5 linked regions of the Macaca fascicularis genome follow. The protein of the gene in region 1 purifies or fractionates together with the protein of each later gene. This does not show direct contact. Links are inferred from orthologs where the notes say so. Each region holds a gene or a part of one and is shown in the gene's direction. Other genes may lie near its edges.

The links.
Region 2: the proteins of GOSR1 (region 1) and STX12 purify together in Homo sapiens (affinity purification with mass spectrometry; 3 studies listed by BioGRID and IntAct, counting the BioPlex papers as one, with this or other methods). This does not show direct contact. The link is inferred for Macaca fascicularis from reciprocal best matches to the Homo sapiens genes GOSR1 and STX12.
Region 3: the proteins of GOSR1 (region 1) and BET1L purify together in Homo sapiens (affinity purification with western blotting; 3 studies listed by BioGRID and IntAct, with this or other methods). This does not show direct contact. The link is inferred for Macaca fascicularis from reciprocal best matches to the Homo sapiens genes GOSR1 and BET1L.
Region 4: the proteins of GOSR1 (region 1) and NAPA purify together in Homo sapiens (affinity purification with mass spectrometry; 3 studies listed by BioGRID and IntAct, with this or other methods). This does not show direct contact. The link is inferred for Macaca fascicularis from reciprocal best matches to the Homo sapiens genes GOSR1 and NAPA.
Region 5: the proteins of GOSR1 (region 1) and STX5 purify together in Homo sapiens (affinity purification with western blotting; 3 studies listed by BioGRID, with this or other methods). This does not show direct contact. The link is inferred for Macaca fascicularis from reciprocal best matches to the Homo sapiens genes GOSR1 and STX5.

What each region holds. Positions count from the first base shown.
Region 1 is NC_088390.1:36,006,330-36,011,864, forward strand, and holds part of GOSR1 (Golgi SNAP receptor complex member 1), read left to right. Parts: intron 1-1,624; coding exon 1,625-1,712; intron 1,713-2,051; coding exon 2,052-2,159; intron 2,160-5,535. UniProt on the Homo sapiens protein: Involved in transport from the ER to the Golgi apparatus as well as in intra-Golgi transport. It belongs to a super-family of proteins called t-SNAREs or soluble NSF (N-ethylmaleimide-sensitive factor) attachment protein receptor.
Region 2 is NC_088375.1:207,289,210-207,295,327, reverse strand, and holds the start of STX12 (syntaxin-12), read left to right. Parts: upstream 1-2,036; 5' UTR 2,037-2,149; coding exon 2,150-2,267; intron 2,268-6,118. UniProt on the Homo sapiens protein: SNARE promoting fusion of transport vesicles with target membranes. Together with SNARE STX6, promotes movement of vesicles from endosomes to the cell membrane, and may therefore function in the endocytic recycling pathway.
Region 3 is NC_088388.1:84,492-90,511, reverse strand, and holds the start of BET1L (BET1-like protein), read left to right. Parts: upstream 1-1,880; 5' UTR 1,881-1,957; coding exon 1,958-1,976; intron 1,977-3,222; coding exon 3,223-3,314; intron 3,315-3,597; coding exon 3,598-3,654; intron 3,655-3,796; coding exon 3,797-3,964; 3' UTR 3,965-6,020. Other genes in the region: RIC8A (chaperone Ric-8A), read right to left, coding at 1-29, 366-449. UniProt on the Homo sapiens protein: Vesicle SNARE required for targeting and fusion of retrograde transport vesicles with the Golgi complex. Required for the integrity of the Golgi complex.
Region 4 is NC_088393.1:55,532,398-55,538,395, reverse strand, and holds the start of NAPA (alpha-soluble NSF attachment protein), read left to right. Parts: upstream 1-1,935; 5' UTR 1,936-2,065; coding exon 2,066-2,163; intron 2,164-5,998. UniProt on the Homo sapiens protein: Required for vesicular transport between the endoplasmic reticulum and the Golgi apparatus. Together with GNA12 promotes CDH5 localization to plasma membrane.
Region 5 is NC_088388.1:11,223,292-11,228,826, forward strand, and holds part of STX5 (syntaxin-5), read left to right. Parts: intron 1-1,478; coding exon 1,479-1,595; intron 1,596-1,678; coding exon 1,679-1,735; intron 1,736-1,899; coding exon 1,900-1,981; intron 1,982-2,454; coding exon 2,455-2,561; intron 2,562-2,732; coding exon 2,733-2,854; intron 2,855-5,535. UniProt on the Homo sapiens protein: Mediates endoplasmic reticulum to Golgi transport.

The sequences.
Region 1 (5,535 bases):
TGAGCTTGGATTTGAATCTAGGTCTATCTCCAGACCCACAGTCTAAACCCTACTATATTGTGTACATTTGAACAAAAAGCTAATTTCAACACTATAGCCAAAGTACTGTTTCTTTTTCATAAGGACTCATTGGTTGTAAAGGCAGCAGGGCCAACATTGACTCTAGGATCTCAAAATAAATTACTAACACATCAAATAGATTGCATTGCTTTGGACTTGGCTTTATTTAGCAAGAGAATGAAGAATGTTCTTTCTATGCATTTTCTATGTTCCGTGTGCTTCACGAACTAATACTTTTTTTATTCCTCTAAAGGAAAAACTATCTTGAAAACATTTCCTAAGAAATTCTACCACAAACTGAAACTGGCTTTGTAGAATTACTTCAGCCTAACTACCCTTTTAAATAAAAATCTAAGGCCATGAGGATCAAGATTTGATGTGTATTCTAAAGTGTCTTGTTTGATGCCCAGGTTGGAAGCATGTCACAATGAGTCAACTAAGCAATAACTAGAATATTATTTATTCCAGGAATCTTCCTTTCTTTTTTTTTTTTTTTTTAACTTTCTGTATTTTGAAAACTTCAAGGTCTATGAATCATTCATTACCCACCTATAAGATGAATTAAATTTAACTGAATCCTAGTATTGTGAAGAATTAGTTTTTGGCCATTTCCCTTTAGTCTTACACTGTCCTGATGAATATATGAATATAAGGAGTATGGAATAACCAGTAGTAGAGATTGCTCTCTCATTCATTCATTCAACAAACATTTAGTGAGCATCTACTATGTGCCTGGCTCTATACTAGGTGCTAGGCATATATCAATGAATAAGACAGAGCAGTTTTTTCCTCCCTTCATGAAGCTTTAATTCTATTGGCATATTGTTCTTTTTCATATATCTGGTAGAGGAGGATTTATATTAGTAGTCTACAGAGCATTTTTTAATCTTTTTCATTTGCCACACCCAGGCACTGTCACAGGGTAGGACAAAGTCTTCAGTAAGATTGGAGCGCATAGTCATTGCCTGGGCATTTATCTGTGTCCAGTATAACTCCGATCTGTATTGAGCTGCTCATTGGATGCTAATACATACCTAACCTGATGAAAGTTAGTGGTGTTTTAGAAAAGGCAAAAGAAACACTCAGGACAGGTGGGTTTAGAATTTGAATCTGTCAAACATAAGTTTCACTTATAAAAAGATAGATTTTTGACCATTCAGATTTGAAAAGGCAATTTAACACAATTCTACGAAACAAAAAGATGACTGCATACTGTAAGTGGAAATGTAGAAGATTAGTACCAAAGTATGCAGGTGGCTGTATATATTGAATGTAAAGCCAGTTCCTGAGTATTCGTTAGCTAGTTATCCAATCTGTGGATCATTTAAACCTCAATCTTATTTCCTCTTGGTAAGAGTCAAGGAAAGAAGAGAGAACTTAAAGTTGAGGTTGAAGGAACCATAATTCCTTTGAGGTAAAAATGTAAAAGATTGTTTCTCACAGACCCTATATAACATAATCCATAATTCATTTTATGGTTCATATTAATTACCTTATTATTTTAAGTATGTTTTAAAGGACTGCATTTGAGTAATGGATCCTCTTTAACTGAACTTCTTTTTAGTTCTGATACAACACCTCTTTTAAATGGATCAAGCCAAGACAGAATGTTTGAGACAATGGCGATCGAGATTGAACAACTTTTGGCAAGGGTAAGTGCTTTGTTAAATGGCTGTTTTGCAAATAACTGTATACTTGTTAGATAGGATCCTGGATTGTATTGAGACAGACATGTTTAATGAAATTATCCATTCCATTCAAGATGTGTACCTCCCCACACCACTTGAATTTTGATGACAGCCATTCTCAGGTGATACGATGTTATTTTGGTCTTTATGGATTATGTGGGGGAATGCTTAATTCTTACTTGATATCTTGTTTGTTTTTTGTTTTGTTTTGTTTTGCTGTCAACCAAAAGGGCATATAGGCAAATAATTTGCTTTTAGCTGTTTATAGTGCTTAGTAAAATATTTTTTTTTCTTTATTTCTAGCTTACAGGGGTAAACGATAAAATGGCAGAATATACCAACAGTGCAGGTGTCCCCTCCTTGAATGCGGCCCTGATGCATACATTACAGCGGCATAGAGACATATTGCAGGTAATATATTGGGCTCGAGACATTTTCATTATCACAGGAGTTCGGGTTTTTTTTTTTTTTTTTAATCTCTGCATTGGATATATGCACATGTATTTAAAATGACAAAGAGAAACATCTGAGAAAATAAATGCCATGCTAGAGGGACTTGTTTTACTTTTTTTTTTTTTTGGTCACCATTATAAAATTCTGAAAATATCTAATAGCTCTTGCTATTTCCTGGCGAAGTTGACTAATATTCATCACTGGGTAATATACTTCCATTCTGGGAGACCTAGCTAGCTAGCTGTAACCGTGAACTAGTCAATGGTCATGTATAGACAGTAACATTGTGGGTTAGAGTGTGCTTTCATCTGGCTTTGAAGATGACTTATTTACTATACTCAGTGTATTGTTTGAGAAAACAATAAATGTTTATGCACCAATAAAACTAAACTCTTAAAGATTTAAATGGAGGATATGTTAAAAATATAGTAGTACAAATAGGAAGGCAATTTTTTTTTTTTTTTGAGATAGGGTCTCTCTGTCACCCAGGCTGGAGTGCAGTAGTGCAATCACAGCTCACTGCGGCCTCAACCTCCCAAGCTCAAACAATCCTCCTACCTCAGCCTCCTGAGCATCTGGGACCACAAGCACATGCCACCACACCTGGCCAATTTTTTAAAAGTTTTTTAGCAGAGACACGTCCTTGCCGTGTTGCTCAGGCTGGTCTGTAACTCCTCTGTTCACAGGTTTTTACTATGTTGCCCAGGCTGTTCTCTTAACTCCTGTGTGTGGGCAGTCTACCCACCTCGGCCTTCCAAAGTGCTAGAATTACAGGCATGAGCTGCTGTACCCAGCCACAAATATTTTTAATACTGTGAAAAGTCAGCAACTATTTCTAATTTTAAAAACTGTTTTTAAAAGTAGGAATAGATGGCCAGACGCGGTGGCTCATGCCTGTAATCCCAGCACTTTGGGAGGCATGAGGTGAGTGGATCACCTGAGGTCAGGAGTTGGAGACCAGCCTGGCCAACATGGCGAAACCCCGTCTCTACTAAAGTACAAAAATAAGCCAGGCAATAAAAACATTCCCATTGAATAAAACAACACAAGGATACCCATGATCACTACAAATGCATAACATTGTTTTTGAAGTTCTTGATGGTGCAATTAGACAGTAAAAAGAAATGAAATGTAGGCTGGGCATGGTGGCTCACGCCTCTTGTCCCAGCACTTTGGAAGTCTGAGGTGGGTGGATCATTTGAGATCCGGAGTTGGAGACTAGCCTGGCCAACAGGGTGAAACCCCTTCTCTACTAAAAATACAAAAATTAGCGGGGCATGGTGGTGGGTGCCTGTTATCCCAGCTACTTGGGAGGCTGAGGCAGGAGAATAGCTTGAACCCTTGAACCCAGGAGGTGGAGGTTGCAGTGAGCCGAGATTGAGCCACTGCACTCCAGCCTGGGCAACAGAGTGAGACTGTCTCAAAAAAAAAAAAAAAAAAAAAGTTGTAAATATTGGAAAGGAAGAGGCAAAATTTCTGTGAGGTAGCAGGATAAAATTTTATGTCTAGTATACCCAGGAAAATTACCTGATAAAAAGTTAGAAACAATTAAATTCAGTAAGATGGTAGATTATAAAATGAATACATAAAAGCAAATAGTTTTCCTACTATGATAGGAAATAAATGATAACCTGTTAGAAAATATAATGGAAGAAACTATAAAGTATTTATGTATGAATTAAATAAGAAATGTGTAGGACTTGTATGTGCAAAATTCTACTGAGGGACATAGAACAAGATTTAAGTAAAGGAAAGAATCAGTCCGTTTTTGGATGGGAAGACTTTCGTCTGAATTGCATGGCATCCCAGTGGAAACAGCAGGGTTGTTTTGTTGTTTGTTTAATTAAAAACAAATGACAGAATGATACCAAAGTTCATTTGGAATCATAGACATACAAGAACAACCAAGAAGAACAACTTGAAAATGAAGATAAGTGGTAGAGGGTTTGTAGTTCTCCCAGATCTTAAAACCTGTTAAAAAGCTGAAATAGTTGAAACAGTTTGATACTAGAGGGAAAAATAATTAAATAAATAAGAACAATTAAACAGAGTAGAGTTTATATGTAGACCCAATTATGTATGGAAATTTTTAGTTTCTGATAAAGATGTTGTTTAAAATCAGTGCGGCAAAGAGAAATTATAAAATAAATGGAACTATAACCATTGCCTAATTATTCAGGGATTTAAAAAAAAAAATTCTATCTCAATCCTCACATCCAGAACAAATTCCAAATGGATCCAAGAAGTGTAGAAAAAGAAACCATAAAGCAGAGGTGAAATTTATAAACTTTTGAGCAGAAAGGACTTTCTAAATAAGACTTGATACTGGAAACTGTAACAAATGACTAATTTGCTTACTACACAGAGAAATAATAGAAATAAGAAAAAGACACTAGGAAAATGGACAAAGGGTGTAAAATTGCTTACAAAAAATGAGTGGCCAAAACTATAAAAACAGTTTCAGCAGTATTTCCAAATAAAAATACAGAAATCTAAAAGAGGTGATTTTTCACCTGTCAGGTTAGCAAATGTTGAAACATTTATAACCCATTATTGGCAAGAATAAAAATTAAAAAACGGCACTCCTATATTGCTGGTGGGAACATAAATTGATGTAATGTTTCTAGAAGGCAGTTTAGCACTACCAGAATGTAAATGAATGTAACATTCTTTGATCCAGTTATTGTTTTTTTTTTTGAGATGGAGTCTCGTTCTGTTGTCCAGGCTGGAGTGTTGGAGTACAGTGGTGCAATCTCGGCTCACTGCAGCCCCCGCCTCCCGAGTTCAAGCGATTCTTCTGCCTTGGCCTCCCGAGTAGCTGGAACTACAGGCATGCACCATCACGCCCGACTAATTTTTGTATTTTTAGTAGCAATGGAGTTACATCATATTGGTCAAGCTGATCTCAAACTCCTGACCTCGTGATCCACCCAGCTCAGCCTCCCAAAGTGCTGGGATTACAGGCGTGAGCCACCGTGCCCAGCCCTGATCTAATTATTCTATTGCTAGGCATTTACTCCTTTTTTTTTTTTTTTTAAGCTCTTTTGAACTTAATAGACATTTACTCTTTAAATACACTTTTTTTTTCTTTTTTTTTCAGACAGAGTCTCACTATGTTACCCAGGCTGGAGTGCAGTGCGTGGTCTCGGCTTACTGCAACCTCCACCTCCCGGGTTCACACCATTCTCCTGCCTTAGCCTCCTGAGTAGCTGGGACTACAGTTGCCTGCCAGCATGCCCGGCTAATTTTTTGTATTTTTAGTAGAGATGGGATTTCACTGTGTTAGCCAGGATGGTCTCCATCTCCTGACCTCGTGATCTGCCTGCCTCGGCCT
Region 2 (6,118 bases), on another chromosome or scaffold:
AGTGAGCTGAGATCTGGCCACTGCACTCCAGCCTGGGCGACAGAGCAAGACTCCGTCTCAAAAAAAAAAAAAAAAAAAAAAAAAAAGAAAAATACCTTTACTGAACTTCACTTTAGTGTGAAATGTAAATTTAAAAATTATCAGGACTATCATATAGGTTAAAAAGTGCAATTTACATGACTTGCTATAAGATTTGACATAAAACTACAGATTCTAAGAAACAGTAAGGTTGTATAATAATAACCAAAACAGGCTGGTGCGGTGGCTCACACCTGTAATCCCAACACTTTGGGAGGCCAAGGCGGGTGGATCACCTGAGGTCAGGAATTCAAGACCAGCCTGACCAACATGGTGAAACCCCATCTCTACTGAAAATACAAAAATTAGCCGGGCTGTGGTGGTGCATGCCTGTAATCCCAGCTACTCGGGAGGCTGAGGCAGGAGAATTGCTTGAACTCAGGAGGCAGAAATTGCAGTGAGCCAAGACTGCGCCATTCGACTCCAGCCTGGGCAACACAGCAAGACTCCATTTCAAAAATAAAATAAAATAACCAAAACAAGAGCCCCCAGATGTCATCCATCTCTTTCTAGAGAGAGGGAAAAAAATGCTCTCAAATTCTCCAACGAAAAATAGAGATAGCCACCCTTAAAAAATCCTAAGGCTGGTGGTGATCACTTGAGCCCAGGAGTTCGAGACCAGCCTGGACAACATGGCCAAACCCCATCACTACAAAAAATATAAAAATTAGCTGGGCGTGGTGGCGCACGCCTGTAGTCCCAACTACTTGGAGGCTGAGGTAGGAGGATCTCTTGAGCCCAGGAGAAGGAGGTTGCAGTGAGCGGAGATCATGCCACTGCACTCCAACCTGTGTGACAGAGCGAAACCCTGTCTCAAAAAAAATAAAATAAAATAAAGAAAAAACCCTAAGGCCATATACAGGCTCATTCACTTGGGGTCTCCTTTCACCCAGGCAAGCAGCTTTCCGTCTTTGCATTTTCCAAAGACTGCAAAGCAGGCTGGGGTGGGGTGGAGAACACAGGAAACAGCCAGTTCCCCTTCACTTCTCACCATCTTGATCTCCTCCCAAACCAAAATCCTATGTCTTTCCTTTTAACATACGCTTACAGAAATGCAGTCTTCTGTAGGAAAATTGAGGTCATGCATTCCAAAGTATTTAAGGGTATGATTTTTAAATTTTAGGAATCTAGTTCTCCAAGAAATCCCGGCTTGGGATATAGATGAACGAGCTATTTGGGAGAGATTTCGATGAGAATGAATTTTAGAGAAGTAGCGAGGTGAGGAGAGAGTCAGCTTAGCGTTTGGCTTTTGCAGTCAAACTTCAGCAAGGCGAAGTAACCTCGCTGGTCTTAATTTTCTCATCGGTAATAGGGAAAATAATAATGCTAACATTGATGAGTTACTTTACTTCAATATTTAAAAAACCGGCTCTCCGTTATCTATTCTAATGATAAAAATGTAGATAGAGCATCGTCCCTTGCTGTGAAAAATCTTATGAACAAGTGAATTGCGGTGAGGATTCACACATAATATGTGCTTAATAAACATTATTATTTTATTGTTTAGATTAGAAGAGGGGTGGAGGGAGAAATGAAAGCGGTTTGGAAACCCCAAATACTACCAAAACCCTGGGGATGGAAGTAGAGAGGAATTTCGGGTTACGATTTGGTTCCTGGTCTGAGTTTCAACGTTGAATACTCCCATATTTGGGCCTGAATTCTCAAAACAGAATAGGATGTAAGGGCTGAGATCATCTGGTACAGTTTTATGCAAATCGAAAATTCTTGCCTCTTGTCAATGTGCCCTGGCGAGAAACAACACCTCCACCCAAGCTCATCCAATCTCAGCCCCAACTAGGTGACGTCATCTCTCCGCCCCGCAACCCCCAAGCCCCGGGCAGTCCTGTCTCTAAGATACAGTCCCAGCCCCAGTCCCAGCGGCGCCTGCGCACTTTGAACAGGGGCGGGGAGGACGCGTGCGCGCTGCGTGGGGGCGGGACTAGTGCGCACGCAGCCTTAGCTTCTTCCCCGCCCTTGGTCTTCCCAGTTTCTCCGTCAGCCTGCGGGTCCCGGCTGGCGGCTGCTTCCGGTAGGAGAGTGGTGTAGGGCGAGCAGGTCTCAGCTCCTCGTCATGTCATACGGTCCCTTAGATATGTACCGGAACCTGGGGCCCTCAGGGCCCCAGCTCCGGGACTTCAGCAGCATCATCCAGACGTGCAGCGGCAACATCCAGCGGATCAGCCAAGCCAGTGAGCCGGGGTACCGAGCTGGGGGGCGGGAGCTGTCCCCGGGACAGGCCTGGGTGAGACTGCCGGGTCGCGGAGCCCGGCTGGGACTACGGCCGAGGCCACACCTGGGGCTGTCTCGGGCTGTCCACCCTGGGGGCGGTGGGCTTGCCTCCCCCAGTCTGTCAGGCCCGGGCTGCCCGAGGGTCCCCGGCCCCAGCTGAAGCTTGAGCTGCTTCTCTGGAGTTCTGCCCCCACGGTGCTGGGACCAAAACAGCCCGAGGGTGGGAAGGGGAGTGTGTGTCATCTCGAGAGCTGTGAGTGCGTTGACTTGGCGCAGTGGTCAGCCGAGTTTCTCCTGTCATCCACCTTCCTCCCCACCCACCTCGCTTTCCTCTTAGGCCAGTTTGGATGGGGTTGTTTACTGATTTAGGCTTTAGGTTTACATTCTGCTCAGCCCCTGGCTCCTCGGAAATCAGCAACTTTCAATTAAGGGAAGTGGAGAGTGCATGTGTTTGGATGACTTCATACACAGTTCTTCCTGTAATGAATTCGGAAATCAGACACAATGACTGGTATTTGAGAGGTGGGATGACTTCTGTTTTAATAAAGATAATTCACCAGCAACATTTCAACTTACATTATTTTGTCTTTTGTAACAAAGCATTGGGGTGTATTTTTGGATTTCAGGCAGATGAGGCTTTTGTTTTCCTTCCCTACTTAGCTGCTCTTGAACAAATCTGGTACACAGGGAAGCTAAGAGACTTAGCCACAACCACAGAGCAAGTAATGCATGGTAGAGTTGTTGGTGGAATTCAGAATGGTATTGCTTGTCTTAAAACTCCCTCCTCCCCATTAGGGTCTGAGTGAAACTATAGCTGAATGAGTCAAATACAGGGTGTTTCTTGGGCTTGAAAATCATCTTGGAGCCTTATAAACAGGAGATCAGCAACAGCTTTACTTGGAAAGAATGGTGGTCATCATCCTTATTGTTTATTATTGTGTTTTGTGAGCTTGGTGTACTCTGTTAATAGGTAGAACTAGTTAGTCCTGAATTACAATTCTGTATTTTAAATAATATCACTTTGCTTTAGTTTTTAAACTTTAAAAAATTTTTCTTTTTTGTAGAGATGAAGTCTTGCTGTGTTGGCCAGGCTGGTCTCAAACCCCTGGGCACAAGCACTTCTCCCACCTCAGCCTCCCAAAGTGCTGGGATTACAGGCGTGAGCCACTGTGCCCAGCCTAATTTTTTTAATTTTAAAAAATTAAATATTTTAAATTTGTTTTTAAGAGACGGAGTCTAGCTCTGTCACCCAGGCAGAGTGCAGTGATCTGAGTGAAGTAGAACGATCCTAGCTGGCTATAACTTTGAATTCCTGATCAGCTTGCTGAGTCGCGAGGACTACAAGGATGCATCTACCATGCCAGGCTAATTTTTAAATTTTTTGTAGGGATGGGGTCTCACTATGTTGCCCAGGCTCACTTTGCTTTTAAATCTAAATGTATATTGTAGAATTTGAGAAGTTTCTGATCAAAAGCAGTTGAGACTCTGGAAGTGAAAGGAAGGGTATGTGACCTCTTAAAATCCAGAACTAAAAAAAAATAATATGACCACTGGTTAGAAAGTGTAGTACTTTTTGTACCAGTTTCCTTTTGTGAAGGAGCTGTAATACAGGTTAGATCAGAAAATTCTAGTTCAAGGCTGAAATTTTCTTGTTGAAGCTAAATCTGATTTTAATATCTATTTGCAAAATATTCATTCAACTTGTATTCAATATTATATATATCATATATAATATTATATTTAATATATAATATACACATGAAGATGGATAGATGGATACATGTTGAATGAATATTATATACATGCTGATATATATATATATATATATATAAAACCAGAATACTCCCAAATGTAGATCCGACATACATTTTTAAATTTACATTTAAATTTTTGTTTTGAGACAGGGTCTCACTCTGTCACCCAGGCTGGAGTGCAGTGGCATGATCTCAGCTCACTGCAGCCTCAACTTCCCTGGCTCAAGCAGTCCTCCTGCCTCAGCCCTACAAGTAGCTGGGACTACAGGTGTGCACCACCATGCCCGGCTAATTTTTTTTTTTTTTCTTTTGAGATGGAGTCTTGCTGTGTCGCCCAGGCTGGAGTGCAGTGGCTCAATCTCCGCTCACTGCAAGCCCCGCCTCCTGGGTTCACACCATTCTCCTGCCTCAGCCTCCTGAGTAGCTGGGACTACAGGCGCCCACCACCACGCCCGGCTAATTTTTTGTTTTTTTTTTTTTTTTTTTTTTGAGACGGAGTCTCGCTCTGTCGCCCAGGCTGGAGTGCAGTGGCCGGTTCTCAGCTCACTGCATGCTCCGCCTCCCGGGTTTATGCCATTCTCTTGCCTCAGCCTCCCAAGTAGCTGGGACTACATTCTCCTGCCTCAGCCTCCCAAGTAGCTGGGAGACGGGGTTTCACCGTGTTAGCCAAGATGGTCTCGATCTCCTGACCTCGCGATCCGCCCATCTCAGCCTCCCAAAGTGCTGGGATTACAGGCTTGAGCCACCGCGCCCGGCCAATTTTTTGTATTTTTAGTGGAGACGGGGTTTCACCGTATTAGCCAGGATGGTCTCGATCTCCTGACCTCGTGATTCACCTGCCTTGGCCTCCCAAAGTGCTGGGAATACAGGCATGAGCCACTGCGCCTGGCCCATGCCTGGCTAATTTTTATATTTTTTGTAGAGATGGAGTTTCACCATGTTGTCCAGGCTGGTCCTGAACTCCTGTTCTCAAGTGATCCACCCACCTTGGCCTCCCAATAGGCCAGGATTACACATGTGAGCCACCACGCCTAGCCTTCAACATACATTTATTTGAGTATGTAGTAAGTGTAAGAACTGGCATGGATCTTTCAACAGAGAACCTGCAGAGTACATAAGCAAAATATAAAGTTAAAAGGGATTGGTGCTATAAAAGACATATAAATAACATGAAGGTATTCTGGGGAGAGAGAGATTGTTTTTAATTGAGAAGGCATTATGGCATTTGAGTTATGTCTGGAAAGAGGATGGAAAGATTTGGACCTTTGAAGGTAAAGAGAAGAGCATTCCAGGAGGGAATAAAATGAACAGGCATCATAGTGGGGAAGCATAGGGTATATCTAGAAGAGTAATTTAATTTGGCTAGAGTGGTGGATTCCAGAAAGTAGTGGGAAAAAAAGGACTGAAAGGTAAATTGGGGCCCAAACATGAAGGACGTTAAATGCTAAGCTAAGGGGCTTGGATTTAATTCTTTAGGAAAGTGTGAGTTGAATTCAAAGGGAGAGAGACTGGAATCAGAGATACCAGTTAGGGCTGTGAACATGAAGAGAAAGGAAACGATAGGAGAGGTTTCCTTGGTGATAGAATTGGTAAGATTTAGCTATTGATTGGGCATTGGCCCCAAGGGGATCATTTAAGTCAACTGTTAGTAATATTAATAGCTAACGTTTGAGTACATACTGTGTTCCAGGCAGTATGAAAAGTGCTTTATATGCATTATCTTATAACAACTCTGAAGCACCAGGATCATTTCCATGTTATGTATTAGGAAACAAACTATAAAGGTTAAGTAATTGCCCTGCTAACAAATGACAATATCTGAATTTGAAACTAGGTCTGTCTCTTATGACCAGCAATTTGTCTTTTTATAACTTTTTATTAATATTACAGTTCTGGGCTGTGCTCAGTGGCTCACACCTGTAATCCCAGCACTTTAGGAGGCCGAGGAGGGAGGATTACTTGAGGCCAGGAGTTTGAGATTAGCTTGGACAATATAGCGAGACCCCATCTCTAAAAAAAATTTTTTTAAATTAGCCAGATGTGGTAGCATGTGCCTG
Region 3 (6,020 bases), on another chromosome or scaffold:
GCATCATCAAACGTGAAGCTCTGGGAGTGCTGCAGAGAGAACGAGTGAATTCAAGTCCACAGAGGGGCAGTATCCGCGCCCGCTGACGGGGGGCGGCCTATTGGCCTCTAACTCAGGCAGCAGCCACTGCTCAGAAGGGGTGGCAGGGTCTACACTCGCCCCCATCCCTACACACCTGCCACCCAACGGGTGCACCCCAGACACTCTCCCCCCAACACTGCATCCCTGACGTGCCACCCCCACGCCGCCGCGTCCCCTCTGCTTGCTGACACAACCCCTGCCTCACCCACACCGTCCCGACCACCCGCGCACGACCCTGCCCCACCCCCTCCGTGCCCGCCCCCCGGCCTCAGGCGGCCGCTCACCTCCTGGTTGTACGACCGCAGAGCTTCCATAATCACATCCTCCTTCCCCGTCTCCACGGCTTCTGCAACCGCCCGGGGCTCCATGGCGCCCCCGGAACCCGGCGCGGGGAAGGCGGGACGGGCCCTTCCTCAACCTTTCCGGGCCGCAGTTCGCCGGCCCCGCCCTGGCCCAGAAAGCCCCGCGCCAGCGCGCGGGGGAGGCCGGGACGGGACGCGGCGTCTGGTGGCGCTTCAAGGGGGCGCGGCCTGAGGCAGCACTGGCGGCTCGGAAGACCCGAGTCGGGCCAAGTCGCCCTGAACCGGACTGATCCCCCTCCTTGTGACCGGGGCTTCTTGGGCCGGAATTTCCAACAGGAAAGGATCTCAGCCCCCACCGCGCCCTGCCACACACACAGTGACGCCCCTCGAGCTCCACAGAACCGATGGGATGTAGACGGGAAAGCCGAAGTGGAAAGGACTTTTCAGTCCCGGGCCATTGGGTTCGTTAGGCGTTTGCTGGGGAATGCAAGCGAACGGGACTCCCAGGCCCCTGCCTTTGTGGAGCTTATGTTCCAGAGGGGAAGGCAGACAAGGAAAAACAAAAGGACATGAGGCGGTCACAGGGCTGTGCTTCAAAAGAAGCAAAAGGTGACTGCTGGGCTGCAAGGGCTGTGAGGCAGTGGTGTTTTTGCTAACACTGGACGATGGGAAGCGAGCCGGGAAAAGACTGGAGGAGCCACTCCAGGCAGAAGGAGCAGCACTTGCAAAGGTGGAAGGGCCGTGAGGGGCCGAGAGAAAGGGGAGCAACGCAGTCTGGCCTGGACTCAGTTCCCTCTTGACAAGCAAAGATCCTGCGTGTCCGTTTCAGTGGCCATCAGGAGGATTCAGTGACGCACAGGAAGCGCGGTCCACTGGCTCTTGTAACAAGTGCCCGGGAGCAAAGGCGTCTACGGCCCCCACTCCCCGTGCCGCCTCCCAGTCTCTTTCCCTGCTTCACTTTCCTGTAGCGCTTTCCGCACACCTGTATTCGACGCGGCGCGCACTCGCAGGCACTAGCGAGGCGCCGATCTCCACTTGACAGAGGAGGCACCCTTGCCCCCTCCACACCCAGGGCTCCTCGCGGGCTTCTGCCCGAGGGGCCTACTCCTCCCTCATGACCCGCCTGTGAATCCTTCCTAACCGTTAGGACCTAACGCATGGCAGCGTCTTTCCACCACCATCGTCTTGGCACTGAGCAAGCAAACGGCCCCGCCCCGCCCCACGTTCACAGGAACAACAAACAAACGTCACATCCGCGGTGCTGCTGTAATCCCAGCACCTTGGGAGCCCGGCAGGCGGGGGCTGCAGTGAGCTGAGATCGCGCCACTGCCTGGGCGACAGTGCTGAAAATAAGTCACAGCGACGCCCATCGCTTCCGCGACCCCGCGGTTCCCCACCCTCGGGCCTAAGCCGGAAATCAGCGAGCCCGACGCCATCTAGGGGCGTGGTTGGCGCGGAGGCGGGGCCATCGCTGGCGGGGGGCGGGGCCGGAAGCCCGTTCCCCGTGACTGCGCCACGTCTGAGGCGGCTGTGGCCGCGTCGGTGTTGGCGTCGAGGAGCCGGGGCAGGGCACGATGGCGGACTGGGCTCGGGGTGAGCGCGGGAGAGCGGAGCCGTTGGGGGCAGGGCCGGGCCGGAACCGACGCCGCTGCCTGTAGAGCCGCGTGCGCCTGCCTCTGGCCTCGGCGGGGAGGACCCTGTCAGGGGGGCGGATTCGGATCCTTCCGGGTCCCAGCAGGGCCGGGTTTCGGCCAGCACTGCCGCTAGGAAGGACGGCGGGCGGGGCGGCCCAGCAGCTCCAGCGAGGGCTCGCGCAGCTGCGGGGTCCCCCCACTCCCCGCCGCTCCCTGTGAGATCGTTTTGCATGGGTTCAGGGTGAGCGGGAGTCTCGGCATTCGACAGGTCCCGAGGCCAGGCCTTCGGAGTAGGCTGTGCTCCGCTGGTGTCCAGGCAGGCCTCTGCTAACTAACTTGGGCCTCGGTGGCCCCATTTCCCCTCCTGGAGCCCGTGTTCTTCTCTGCAAAGTGGGATATTGATGCCTGTCTGAGTTATGATGAGTAAAGGAATTAATGAACAGGAAGTGGTTGGAAGGACGCTGGCATCCCTTCCTTAACGTTGAAGCTAGGGAGAAGGTGGTTCTCACCCACCTGAGGTGACAGAAATTCCTTATCACCTGGCCCAGCCTGTCACAGGCCGGGCCTCTGCAAGCGCTGTGCCCTGGGTGTTGCAGGAAGCCCTGTGTGGGATGCAGACCAGGGATCACGCTCCTGGTCGACCTCAGCTCCCATCTCGCGGAATTGGGAACTTTGCTCAGCTGTTTTCTGTGCGGTAAAGGGCCTTCCCAATGTTCTGTCCTGGTTCCTTGCCACCTCTTCAGGACCCAGCTCAAAGGTCGTCCCTGCAGGAGCCTTTCTGCTGCCCTGCTGGGTACTTTTCCCAAGTCTTTCCTATGCTCTTAGCAGAGTTTACTCTTTTTCTATAAGAATGGGCTCCACATACACAGATGGCGACCTCCCTGGATGCAAGTGTCACATCTTATTAACATCCCAGAGCTGGGCCCAGTTTTTGCTACACAGTCTCAGAAGGTGCTGGTTGGACTGAACCCACTGTGGGTGCTGGCCCATCCCCACCTGGATGTGTACACAGGACACGTGTTCACATGACAGGCCCTTGCACACATCGTCCTTTATGCAGTCTCTCTCACATGTGCAAGATTCACCTGCTGGAACCTAGGTTAGGGCCCCTAGATTTCTGACTCACCCAGTTGTGGTTGGAGTGAGAGGGGTCAGAGGCCTCGCTCCCCGATGGATGCAATCACTCAGCCCCTCTCTTTTCTCAGCTCAGAGCCCGGGCGCTGTGGAAGAGATTCTAGACCGGGAGAACAAGCGAATGGCCGACAGCCTGGCCTCCAAAGTCACCAGGCTCAAATCGGTCAGTGGTGGTCTGTCCTCTTACCTCCACCTGGTGCCCTTGGGGAATGGGGATCAGAGGGAAGGTAGAGGGCCCAGAGGAGTTTCAGGCAGTTTGCCGTCCTCCTCGTTCGATTCGTGGCTGTGCTCACCTGCATGAGGCCCCAGCTGACACCTGGACCTTCCTGCTGCTGCCCCACTGTGTCTGGCAGAGTTGTTGGCAGGGTTTGTCTGGTCTGGGAAGGGTGAGTGCTGTATTATGTGTCTGCTCTGGCCCAACCCTGCCCTCTCTGTGTGCTGAACAGCTCGCCCTGGACATCGATAGGGATGCAGAGGATCAGAACCGGTACCTGGATGGCATGGTAAGGGCCCACGGTGTGCGCGAATCAGTGCCCTGCCCCCAGCACTACCTGCTACAGAGCTTGCAGTGTCTCCTTCAGCACTGGTGCGGGTGGGTGGTCAAATCACCACTTCTGTGTGATCTTGCCGGGATTCTTCCCTTAGGACTCGGATTTCACAAGCATGACCGGCCTGCTTACAGGGAGTGTGAAGCGCTTTTCCGCAATGGCAAGGTCCGGACGAGACAACCGGAAGCTTCTATGTGGCATGGCTGTGGGTCTGATTGTGGCCTTCTTCATCCTCTCCTACTTCTTGTCGAGGGCAAGGACGTGAGACAGTGGGAGCTGGTGTCTGTGGGTGCCAAGGGCAGCCATTGTCTTCCCTGCCTGGCATCTTGGGCTCCAGAGGACTTACCTGCAAAGTACTCCTTTGAAATTATAATCGTGGGCCAGGAATCCTTTCTGTGTGGCAGGAGGCTGCGGCTGCCTGTGACCTGATGAGCTCATGTTGGCTGGTCCCATGTGTGGAAGGGACTCTTTCGGGGAAACCAAGGCCCAGCCCCTCCCCCCTTCCCCAGATGCTAGAGACACAAGCAGAGCTGGGGCCGCAGCGTGTCTGGAGGAGCCAGGTCTGAGCAGAGCAACTGTTGAATCCCAGGCGTGGCCACCTGTGGCCTGCAGCCTTTCTCCCAGCTCTTGGGACGCTGACATCTGAAGGCTCCACGGTCGTGTCCTTGTCTGGATGAGGCCATGTCTGTGATCCAAGGTTCCTGGAACTGACACAGGAAGGGGCTGTGAACCCTAAGTGGGTGCTATCTCCTCCAACTGAGGCTTCTCAGCCTGGAGATGGCAGTTACTCCTGGCCATGGTTGCTGAGCACAGGAGACCAGTGCGGGCCACCCTGCTGTGAGTTCTCTGTGCCTACTCTCCAGTCCTGCGGATGAAGTGAGACCCCTGGGGAGAACGGGTTGTGGATGAAGGAGTGGACTGCAGCCTTGGCCTAGCCACTGGGTGGGATCCTTCTGGGTCCTGTGACTGTGTATCCAGGAGCAGAAACTTGTATTCTCAGGATTCAGAATCTACCCAGCACCAGAGATGTGTTTTCAGAAGAACAGACCTAGAAATGGGCCTCTCTGGCATTTCAGAGTCAGGCAAAGCAGGCAGGGCCGGGGAGCCATTGTGGGTCTACACAAGAAGGTTCCTGAGAGGCTATCAGTTGTTGCCATCTAGCTTGCTGGTAACTCTGGCGCCTCTGCCAAGCCCTGCCAGACTCCTCTGGCTGTGATGGCGTTCTGTGCCATCCTCCTTGTCCCCAGCCTCTGCAGGATACCCTCCCTACCCACCTCTCCCTGGGCCTTCCCTGTCCACTGGGCTGGGCTCATGTTCAAACAACTAGACTGGCAGGGCAACGGCTTTTCCCCACCCCAAGATGAGGTCCTTGCCCCCTTGGCCTAAAAACACCTTTAAAGCTCTGTGCCCTTCTCTGTGCTGTTCCAATCTTCTGCCTCCCAGTCATTCCCTGGGGACTATGGGATCACTGTCCCGCAACCTGTGTGGCCACACTGTGTGTCCTGTCAATCCAGAACTGCCTCTGAGCTCCAGGCTGACCACAGATGAGCCACAGCCTGGTACCTGCAGCCCCACTTTGCTCACCCTTCCCCTCCCCTCCTTCTTCCTTCCACACAGCAAGCCCACCTTTCTCCATGCACGCTCACCATAGCCCCCTTCCTTGTTACCTGAGCCCTCCTTTGTACCTGGCTGAGGCTGTCAGCCTCCTGGAGGAGTGGGGTCCACCGTCTTCCCCTATGCAGTGCGAGCTCACTTCTCACCCAGCAAGGTGGACTCACTTGCCTCCATGTCTCTGGGGCTTTGCTGTTGCCCTGAAACCTAGCTGGGCTGGTGCTTCCCCCTTCTCGGATGTCCCTTTGCAGGCGCCTGTCGTTCCTCAGGCACCAGTGTGCTTGTCTGCCACGGCGAGCTCGTCAGGGGCTTGTACCCTGGTCTCCAAGCATGGTAGCAGCTGCCTGCGTTGGGTCTCCATCTGGTCACTGCAGGTGCCAACCCTTTATCTCCCATATTTTCCTGGGCCATGGAGGGCTGACCTCCATTTTGGGGAATGTGGTTGAGCTGTGGTAACCAGCTATACCCCAGGTGCCCTTCCCATGGTGGTACCCGCCCACCTTGCTGATGTGAACTAGGAAGTTAGGCTGCATCTCGGACTGGCCTTCGCTGGAGAGGTGCTTTGCTGTCTCGGAGTCTCAGTCACTGTGTTCCCTCCCCACCTGTCTCCATGGCTGTTAGCAGCCCTCCCAGGTAATTTGGGGTCTAGGCTGGACTTCCTTTGTGGTTTGCTTTTCTGCTTCTCACTCTTGTTGTATTTTTTTTTTTTT
Region 4 (5,998 bases), on another chromosome or scaffold:
GTTTTTTGTATTTTCAGTAGAGACAGGGTTTCGCCATGTTGGACAGGCTGGTCTCGAACTCCTGGCCTCAAGTGATCCTCCTGCCTTGGCCTCCCAAAGTACTGGGACTACAGGTGACACACTGCGCCCACCAACAGTTTTGAGGAGTACTAGGCAAGTGTTTTGGAGGATGTGGTTCAATGGGAATTTGTCTAGTGTTTTTTTCATGATTAGATTGAAAGATCCCAGAAGTAAAGAGCCATTTTAATCACATGACTTATCAATGTTGAGGTTAACCCAACAACCTGGATGTCAAAGTCTGGTTTCTCCACTGTAAATTTAGTCTTTTTCTCCCCTTTCCTGCACCCTCCTCTTTGAAAGGATGTCACTATGCACAGTCCATACTTACAGAATGGGGAGGTATCCTTCACCTTCTTGAGAGCAGAGTATCTACACAGATTATTTGGAATTCTTCTGCACAAACTATTTGTCTATTCTCCCCCCTTTATTTTTCTCTATTCATCTTTATGACCACAGGCTCATGGATACTTTATATTTGGGATTATAACGCAATACTACTTTATTTTGCTGCTCAAATTGTTCCAGCTTTGGCCATTGGGAGCTCTTTCAGTTGGCACCCTGGCATACCCCCTAATTTTGTGTGTGAGCACACGTGTGGAATACTTCCTTCCTCTCTGGCACTACAAAGTGATACTGCGGTGAGCTATGATTGTGCTGCCGCACTCCAGCCTGGGCGACAGAGTGAGACCCTGTCTCCAAAACCAACAACCCAAAGAGTGAGACCTGTCTCAAAAACCAACTACTCAATTTTCTGGGGCAGCAGGAGGTGTGTTTGAATCTGAACTTTTTTTTTTTTTTAGAGACAGAGTCTTGCTATGCTGCCCAAGGCGGGACTTGAACCGGACTCAAACTCCTGGGCCCAAGCGATCCTCCCGCCTCCGCCTCCCGAGTAGCTGGGATTACAGGCACCAGACACCGCGCCCATCTTCGAATCGGAATTTTTTAACACGCTGTCTTCAGCTTTTTTTTTTTCCTAAGTCTCACTCTGTCACCCAGGCTGAAGTGCAGTGGCACGATCTCGGCCCACTGCAACCTCCACCTCCTCGGTTCAAGCGATTCTCCTCCCTCAGACTCCCGAGTAGCTGGGATTACGGGCGTGAGCCACCACACCCGGCTAATATTTGTATTTTAGTAGAGCGGGGTTTCGCCATGTTGGCCGGGCTGGTCTCAAACTCATGACCTCAGGTGAGCCGCCCGCCTCGGCCTCCTAAAGTGCTGGGATTACAGGCGTGAGCCACCACGCCCGGCCCTCTTCATCTATTTTTTATGAAACCAGAGTTAGAGAACCTCTTAAGTTTTTGTTTCCAGTCTCTCAACTACTTCACCGGTCTCCCCAAAGCAGTTCCAGTACTGGCCGGTAGAGGGAGCAAGAAAAAGCAGAACGGTTTCCTTTTCCCACAAACGCTTTTCCAAGTGAAGAAACGGGCGAGACCAGCCGTGGGGCGGGACTAAGCTCTGCGCAGAACTGTCAAACCCGGGCTTGGGCCCCGAGTTGTCACGTGAGTGTCCGCGGTCAGCTGACTCTGCCGGAGTACTTCAGGGAGGGCGCGGGGTGGCCCCCCTAACAACGCGAGCCGAGGGCTGCTGCTGATTGGTGGAGGAGGATCCAGCGGCAACACCGTGGGGCGGGGCCTCGGCGGTGAGTATTGCCATTGCCTTCCGCAGGGTCACGTGGGAGGTGAGGTACAGAGCGCTGAGGAGAAAGTGGGGCGTCGTTGTCCTGTGTGTGCGCATGCGTTGAGGTCTCGGGACGCCGATTGGGGGGTCCCGAGTCACGGGCGGCTTGCGGCGGCTGGTGGGGGCGTGGCCGGCGGAGCGGGCGCCGCGCTACGAGGCCTCTGGTTGGCCAGCGCGAGTCACGTGATTCCGGGCCGCAGGCGCCGCGCGCCGGTGCGACGTCAACGCAGCCGGGCGACTTCTCCCGATCTGTGTTCCGCGGCCCGGCCGCGGCTGAGTCTTCCCAGGGCCAGTGTCGGGCGCTTTGCTGAGTCCTTTTGTGGCCGCCATGGACAATTCCGGGAAAGAAGCGGAGGCGATGGCGCTGTTGGCCGAGGCGGAGCGCAAAGTGAAGAACTCGCAGTCCTTCTTCTCTGGCCTCTTTGGGTGAGAACCGGGCTGAGGGGTCGGCCGGGACCTAGGCTGAGAGGACGAAGGAGTCACGGTCGGAGGTGGCGGGTTAGGGCACGCAGAGCTCGGGCCGAGGGGACGGAGAGGAACCTGGAATGAGGTGACTTGGCCTGAAGCGGCAGAGGCTACACAGGCTGAGGGCCAAGAGCCTGGGCCGGGGCAACACGGTTTGAGGAGAGACGGTCTGACATGGCGGAAGGGATTTGGGCTGAGGACACATGGACAGAGGCGACCCTGTCTTGAGGCGAGGAAGGGGACCCAGGCCGAAGACAGGCCAGCGGGAGGGGGAGAACCTGAACCGAGGGAATACGTCCTGAAGCCTTGGAGGGGACCGGCTTGGGGGCAGGGAGGGAGTCCGCGAGATAAGCCAGGTCCGGAGGCTTTTCAGAGCTCTAGGGGAATGTGAAGGCTCTCGGGCGGCAGTGATGGGGCCTGGGGCTGAGGACGCCTGCCCGAGGGACTGACCTTTTCATCCCCCGGGGCAGTGGATTTGCGTGGGCCCTGGGCAGTGAGGGTGAAGGCTGAAGGGGGCTGACACCTTTGGAGGGGCTCAGGGCTTAGATGATCCTAGGAGCAGTGAGCTGCGTCTGAAGTGTGGGGGGTGCCTGGGGTGAGTACGGCCCTGGTTAGCAGTGACTAGTTTAAGGACAGCTGAGCAGAGGAACCGGGATGATGGAGTCAAGACTGTGGCGGTCTCAGCCCTTTGGGAGGCCGAGGTGAGTAGATCATCTGAGGCCGGGAGTTCGAGACCAGCCTGACCAACATGGTGAAACCCCGTCTCTACTAAAAATACAAAAATTAGCTGGGCCTGGTGGCGGGTGCCTGTAATCCCAGCTACTCGGGAGGCTGGGGCAGGAGAATCACTTGAACCCAGGAGGCGGAGGTTGCAGTGAGCCGAGATCACGCCTCTGCACTGCACTACAGCCTGGCAACTGAGTGGGACTCCGTTTCAAAAAAAAAAAAAAAAAAGGAAAGAAAAAAACCTGAGGAGGCCTGGGTTGAGGCCGGAGACTCCTGGGTGGGGGAACGCGTGGTGGTGGCTTGGCCAAGGAGATGGAGGGATAACAGGGAGAGACGGGGACTGAGAGAATCAAAACTGGGGATCAAATTCCTGCTGTGTGATCCTCGAGTAATGGGGATGACAGGAACATGCTGAGAAGAGGGATGGGAAAAGGCTTGGGAGACAGAACTAACGCATGTGACATGGCATAAAACTCACGGTAGCTCCTAAAAGCTGACACCACCATCCTGTGATAATTTTAGTGGCTTAAAAGTATTAAGAGCCCAGGTTTGAAATGTGGCTCTGCCACTTACTTCATGACTTTGGGTAAATGGTTTAGTCTCCCTGTTAAAGGAGATCACAAATCTAACCTGCCTCCCATTTGCTGTGAGTGTTAGAATTGAGCCTGGCGTGGAGTTACATCTCTGAGAGTGTTAGCTATTGTTAATGGACTTCCCAGAAGGAAGCAGGTTTGGAGTGTGCAGAGAGCTGATGGGGTTCAAGGTGGGCGCCCGAGAGGAGAGGTCTGGGAGGGGTCAGGAGAGGGAGAGACAGAAACATGGGTGTGCTAAGAGGAGCTGAAAGGGAGCAGTAAAGGGAGCCACGAAGACTTAGTAGGGTTGAGAGGAGCATGAGGCTCTGGGCAGAGGAAGTAAAGGGAGTTTGGCAGGGGGTGGTGGTGTGTGGGGGGGGTGGGATCTGTGCTGATGGGGGGACCCGAAAAGGTCAAGGGGAGGCTGTGGAAACTGAGGGGAGGACTGGGAAAGGACTAGTGGACTTGTAGAGAGAACGGTCTGTGGTGGCCCCTCAGAAGCAGAGCCTGGGGAAGTTGGTGGGACTGGGAGTGTCTGCAGAAGGCTGGAGAAGGGGGTTTGGGAGGAGGGCCTGGGGATGGGAAGAGACTGGGGTAGGAGCCTGGCAGAGGCCGGTAAGACACAAAGGGGAGGGATCTTTCCAAGAGAGGAAGGAACAGGAAAAGGGCTCTGGGCCACGCCCCTTGTTTGAGGTTGGATAATGTTTAGCAAAAGAACTTGAAGAACATGATGGTGAATTGCCTGGTGTGGAGAAACATCTGGGGCTGATGGACTGTATTGATTAGGTGAAAAATATTTTATTTTAGAGGCTGCGAGGAGACAGAGGGTGTGTGTGTGTTTTCTTTTTCTTCACAAGGGGAGAAGTTCAGGTGCTGTGTTTGGGGGTGGGGCCACGAGCTGGATTTTTGGTGATAGTTTTCCTAGGTGGCTCTGGGTGTCTGGTCCCTTTGGCCCAGGGATTAGTGGGCTGTTGGACTGTGTGCTTGGAGGGAGCAGCTAAGTCAGCCCCAAGGCACTTGCTACCTGGTTGGGAAGGCAGGATGCACAGCAAATGCTAGTAAAGTGGAATTACCTACTGTAAGGAAGGGCTCGATTATATCATTCCTGTGACTGTCTGAGCTCAGAGGAAGCAGTGTGAACCAGGGGGAAGCTCATGGTGAGGAGTGAGCTAGGTCCCAAGGAACCACAGGACTTGCTGGGGAGTGGGGCCAGGGAGGGTGCTCTAGGCAGCAGGGATGGTGCAACAGAGATCTAGCATGAGGGGAAGTTCTGCCTGGAAAGACAGGGAACTGAGATCCACACGGATCAGAAATGGCTTCCTGGGGGAGAGGCCCCAACCCCAGGGGGATGAACAGGAGTTCTGGGTGCTCTCTGGCAGGGAGCAGCACTCCAGGCAGGGGTTATGATGGAGTATGCCTTAGGAAGATGGAACACAGGGAGTTACACGTTAGACCATAAAGGTGGAAGCGGCAGGTGAGGCCAGACTAGGAAGGCCTGGTGAGCAAGGGCTGGGCCTGGAGGAGGCACTGAAGAGCTCCGAGGAGGCTAAGGGAGGCCCATCCTGGAGAGCTGCTGTTTGCCTTCTAGAAAGGACTGCAGCAGCTGGTGTGGGGGAGAGTGACGGCAGGAGGCTGTTGCATTGCCGGTAATACTAGCAGATGCAGGTTATTAAGTGCTCGCTCTGACTCGGACCCAGGCCTGGGCCAGGCTCAACCTGCTGATAGATGGTATGGATTTAGTCCTCACAAAATCCCCGTGGAGGTAGAGAAACTTGGGGGCTTAGAGAAGTTGACTTACTTGCCCAGCCACATGGTAAGTGGGAGAGGTGGCATTCAAACCCGGTTCTGTGTGATTCCAGAGCCTTCTCACTTAGCCCCTTTGCTGTCTTACCTCGGTAGTTTCTCCTCAAGGTTCATGACCATCTCTGGGCACTACATTTGGGAAGGCTGTTGGCAAACTAGGTGTGTTGGAAAACCGCCACCCTCTTAACTGTGGTCCCACGGCCGTTTTCTCCAAGTATTTGAAAAAAAGAGCCGGTGTGTTCATCTCAGTTCCTTCCAGCTCCCAGAGGAGCTGACCTGGTGCTGTGGGGGTGTGAGTGAGGTGAGGGCAGAGGGCAGAGGGCAGGGAGGATGGGAGGGTGGCCTGACCGGAGCTTGCATGCCTGGGAGCTGGGAGCACAGTCAGAGGCCAGCTTGGGAGGACCTGTTTGACGGGTGGGAATCACTCAGGCACCTCCTCCTCTCTGATCTGGGTTTGCTTGTGTTCAGCATTTCATAACCCACCTTTATTCAGGTCCTTGGTAGCTGCCGGGACTGGAGAAGGGAGTGTTGGGCCTCAGCTTGTCCTTGGTGCCTCTCCCTTCCCCTTTGGGAATCCCAGCAATGACAGCGTCCCACATTGAGGGTCCTCTGCTCCTATCAAAGGGCAAGTCAGAGAGCCTTCACCTGGGACGCAAGGCGGTGGGCGTCTGTGCTGTCGCCCGCTTCGGTGCTCA
Region 5 (5,535 bases), on another chromosome or scaffold:
TGTGATCCTAGCTCACTATAGCTGTTAACTCCTGGGCTCAAGCTATCCTCCAGCCTGAGCCTCCTGAGCGGTTGAGACTATAGGGACATGCCCTCATACCTGGATAATTTTTTTTTTTTTTTTGAGACAGAGTTTTGCTCTTTTGCCCAGGTGGGAGTGCAGTGGTGTGATCTTGGCTCACTGTAACCTCCACCTCCCAGGTTCAGGCTATTCTCCTGCCTCAGCCTCCCCCATACCTGGGACTACAGCCACCTGCCACCAATGCCTGGCTAATTGTTTTCTCTTTAGTAGAGAAGGGGTTTCACCATGTTGGCCAGACTGGTCTCAAACTCCTGACCTCAAGTGAGCCGCCCACTTCGGCCTCCCAGAGTGCTGGGATTACAGGTGTGAGCCACTGCACTCAACTGTAATAACTTATTTATTTATTTATTTATTTATTTATTATTTTTTGAGACAGAGTTTCACTCTTGTTGCCCAGGCTGGAGCACAGTGGTGTGATCTCAGTTCACCACAACCTCTGTCTTCTGGGTTCAAGTGATTCCACTGCCTCAGCCTCCTGAATAGCTGGGCACATGCCACCGTGCCCAGCTAATTTTGTATTTTTAGTAGAGGTGGGGTTTCTCCATGTTGGTCAGGCTGGTCTCAAACTCCTGACTTCAGGTGGTCCGCCCACTTCAGCCTCCCAAAGTGGTGGGATTACAGGCGTGAGCCCCAGCGCCAGGCCAATAATAACTTTTCTTTTCTTTTTTTTTTTTAAAGATGGTGTCTTACTCTGTTGCCAGGCTGGAGTGCAGTGGTGCGATCTAGGCCTACTGCTACCTCCACCTCCCAGGTTCAAGTGATTCTTTTGCCTCAGCCTCCCAAGTAGCTGGGACTGTGGGACTATAGGCATGCGCCACCACACCCAGCTAATTTTTTGTATTTTTAGTAGAGATGGGGTTTCACCATGTTGGCCAGGATAGTCTCAATCTCTTGACCTCATGATCTGTCTGCCTTGGCCTCTCAAAGTGCTGGGTTTACAGATGTGAGCCACTGAGGAATTGTGTGTATAAATATAATTCTGTTGATGCCTCTTGAAGCTACAGTGCCTTTGACTCTTCCCTTTTCCTGAGTGCTGTCCAGGGGCTTTGTTGGTCATGCTCTAGACCCAAGATTTTGGCCTTTGAAAGGGTTCTGTGGCCAAGAGCATGGCCTCACAGAATGGAGCAGGGCAGTAGGCTGGAGGAGTAAACAAGTTATTTACAAATGGATCAAGGCCTACTTTGCCTCTTTCTAGCTCTTCTCTGCAGGAACTGAGCCAGAGCAAACAATAGACCTTGGAAAATCCTAGCAGGCCCATCTGGTCTAACTGTCTGGGATACTCTCACTCTAGCTAGTAACTTCCACCTTGCCCTTCCTACCAGAGATGGCCATCGAGAGAGATGCTGACTGAGGACTCCTTGGCTAATACTTTGTTTTTCCCTGGACTCTTTTACCAGGACATCAATAGCCTCAACAAACAAATTGCTCAGCTCCAGGATTTCGTGAGGGCCAAGGGCAGCCAGAGTGGCCGGCACCTGCAGACCCACTCCAACACCATTGTGGTCTCCTTGCAGGTGGGAGCTGGGGAGGAAGGGAAGGAGGCAAAGGGGAAGAATGTGGAGTCTTGTTTGGTTGACCGTCTCTCCTTTTCTTCTAGTCGAAACTGGCTTCTATGTCCAATGACTTCAAATCGGTTTTAGAAGTGAGGACTGAGGTGAGAACAATTTGCCTAGGAGGGATAGGAATATGGGGGTAAAGATCCAAGAGGAAATGGGGAAGGTACAGGTTCTACAGGGTCATGGGGCCAATGGTGGGAGTCTCATTAACATGCCTGCTTTCTAGTGGCTTCAGGTCCTTTGCGTTTTTCCCCAACCCCAGAACCTGAAGCAGCAGAGGAGCCGGAGAGAGCAGTTCTCCCGGGCACCTGTGTCAGCCCTGCCCCTTGCCCCTAACCACCTGGGTAAGTCAGAGGTAAAACGGGAAGCCCTGGGAGGTAAGGTTACTTACTCTGGTTGTGATGGCATCCTCTGAAGGCACGGGTTGGGTAGGAGAGTGGAGGGTCAAGGAAGTTTCTAGGCTCTATCTCTCAGAGGCCGAACCAGATGGTTGAGATTCGTGATCCACATTTAGACTCCCACATTCTCACTGTTGGGGTGAATTCAGTTGTATTCAGAAGAATGATAATTTCTAATTTTTTTCATACACTTACCTTTATTCACATTCTCTCATTTAATTTTCACAACCACCCTTTGAGAAAGCAACTATTATTATCCCCCATTTTACAGGTGAGGAAACTGAGGCTCAGAGAGGTTAAATGACCTGTCCAGGGTCACAAGGCTAGTAAGTGCCAGAGCTGGGATTCAAACCCAGAGCATGTGGGCTTTGAACCTGCTTTTAACTGTGAAGATGTGCCACGTCCTGTTTTCTCCCCAGGGGGTGGTGCTGTGGTTTTGGGGGCAGAGTCCCATGCCTCCAAGGATGTTGCCATCGACATGATGGACTCTCGGACCAGCCAGCAGCTGCAGCTCATTGACGAGCAGGTACCCAGGCTCTGAACTAGGGAGAATCAGCTTCTCCATTATCCTCTGTGGTTCCCAAGAGAGTGTCTGGAGTGTGCCATGGGCAGAATGGCAAGCTGGGAGGGCTGTAAAGATGCAGGTCTGACCCTGAAGAAGCTGATGGTGCTCATGTGCTCTCTCCCTCTCCTGAAGGATTCCTACATCCAGAGTCGGGCAGACACCATGCAGAACATTGAGTCGACAATTGTTGAGCTGGGCTCCATCTTTCAGCAGTTGGCACACATGGTTAAGGAACAGGAGGAAACCATTCAGAGGTGAGACATACTCTCTCACCCCAAACATAGGAGCTTTCTCTTCCCCGTAGATTGGCATCTTAAAGTCCCCAGGGACTGCTTGATGCCCTTTGGAAGACAGAGTGAATTCTGCCCACCCATGGGACCCAGTTCACCTGCTTCCGTCCACCCAACAAGTATTTATTGAGCACCTGTTCATGTGAGGCGCTGTTCCAGGTGCGGGAGATACAGCAGCAAATAGGACAGTAAAGTCTCTCTGGAGCTACTTTGTAGCATGTGTAAGTGTCTAGAATTTCATAGGGCAGATGAGGACAGCTGTGGAAAAGAACTGACAAGGCTGGCATAGTGGCTCACACCTGTAATCTCATAGGCAGCATTTGGGAGGCCGAGCAAGGCAGATCGCTTGAGTTCAGGAATTCAAGACCAGCTTGGGCAACAAAGTGAGACCCTGTCTCTACAAAAAAATACAAAAACTAGCTGGGCATGGTGGCACGGGCCTGTAGTCCCAGCTACTCAAGAGACTGAGGTGGGAGGATGGCTTGAGCCTGGGAGGCAGAAGTTGCAGTGAGCCAAGATCATGCCACTGCACTCCAGCCTAGGCGACAGAGCCAGATTCTGTGTCAAAAAATAAAAATAAAAATTGACCAACAAAATTTCAGGTAGTAATGAAAACTGTATACAGAGTTAAAGTAGGATGATGTGTTAAGAAAGTAATGGATGGGTACCGTGGCTTACACCTGTAATTCCAGCACTTTGAGAGGCCCACACAGTCACCTGAGCTAAGGAGTTCGAGACCAGCCTAGGCAACATGGTGAAACCCCATCTCTACAAAAATAAAAAAATTAGCTAGACGTGGTTGCATAGGCCTGTGGTTCCAGCTACTCGGGAGGCTGAGGTGGGAGGATGACTTAAGCATGGGAGGTTGAGGCTGCAGTGAGCCATGATGGAACCACTGCGCTCCAGCCTGAGTGACAGAGCGAGACTCCATCTCAAGAAAAAATAAGGAAGTGACTAAGGTATATCAGATTGTGTGGCAGGGAATGCTGCTCTGAAGACACCACATTTAAGTAGAGACTTGAATGACAAGAGGGATCCAGCCAGGCAAAGAAGAGAGAGTGAGTGTTCTCGGCTGAGTGGACAGCTAGAGCAAAGCCTTGTAATGGGACGGTCTAACTATACGCAAGAATCAAGAAGGCCTGCATGGCTAGAAAGTAATGAACAGGGATAGAGAAGTATAGGGTGTACTGGAGGGATGTAGGCAGAGGCCCAACAATGGGCTGGCCTCTCTGTTCCTCTGGTGTCTCCTGCTACTATAAGAGGTTTTATCTGCTCCTCCTCTGTGGTGCTTAGCATTCAGTCAGTCAGTTATGGGAAATACAGCAGTGGACAGAAGAGACAAAATCCTTGCCCTTGTGGAATGTGTATCCTAGTAGGGAGATAGATGTGAAAAAGTCATAATAAATAGTATGTTTAAAAACAAGTCATAAATGCAAAAAAAAAAAAAAAAAAAGAGTCAACACAGGATAAACTAATCAGGAGTGCCAGGTTTGGAGGGAGGTAAGCCTTATTAAGAAGGTGCATCACACTTGGGAGAAGGTGAGGAAGTTAGGTACATAGACTCTGGCAAAGACCTCCAGGTGACAATATATCTGATGAGTTAACAGACAGCAGAGACTACTGCAGCTGGGATCAGTGAGGAAGCGAGTTGTACAAGGTGTGGTCAGAGGGGAACTGGTGAGACCTCTTGGGACCATTGGTAGGCCTTAGCTTTTTTTTTTTTTTTTTTTTTTTTTTTTTTGAGACGGAGTCTCGCTATGTCGCCCAGGCTGGAGTGCAGTGGCCGGATCTCAGCTCACTGCAAGCTCCGCCTCCCGGGTTTTTACGCCATTCTCCTGCCTCAGCCTCCCGAGTAGCCGGGACTACAGGCGCCCACCACCTCGCCCGGCTAGTTTTTTGTATTTTTTAGTAGAGACGGGGTTTCACCGTGTTAGCCAGGATGGTCTCGAACTCCTGACCTTGTGATCCGCCCGTCTCGGCCTCCCAAAGTGCTGGGATTACAGGCTTGAGCCACCGCGCCCGGCCAGGCCTTAGCTTTTATTCCAAGTGACATAGGGAGCCATTGCAGGGTTTTGTTTTTGTTTCTGTTTTTGTTTCAGACAGAGCCTTGCTCTGTCGCCCAGGCCGGAATGCAGTGGCACGATCTTGGCTCACTGCAACCTCTGCCTCCTAGGTTCAAGTGATTCTCATGCCTCAGTCTCCCTAGTACCCTGGACCACAGGTGTGCACCGCCATGCCCAACTACATTTTGTATTTTTAGTAGAGACGGAGTTTTGCCATGTTGGCCAGGCTGGTCTTGAACTCCTGGCCTCAAATGACCTGTCCTTCTTGGCCCCCCAAAGTGCTGGGATTACAGGTGTGAGCCATCACAACTGGCCAAATACATTTAACTTTATTTATTTTATTTATTTATATATTTTTTATTTTTATTTTTGAGATAGAGTCTCACTCTGTTGCCAGGCTGGAGTGCAGTGTTACAGTCTCGACTCACTGCAGCCTCTGCCTCCTGGGTTCAAGCGATTCTCCTGCCTCAGTCTCCTGAGTAGCTAGGACTGCAGGTGTGTGAGACTATGCCCAGCTAATTTTTGTATTTTTAGTAGAGACAGAGTTTCACCATGTTGGCCAGGATGGTCTTAATCTCTTGA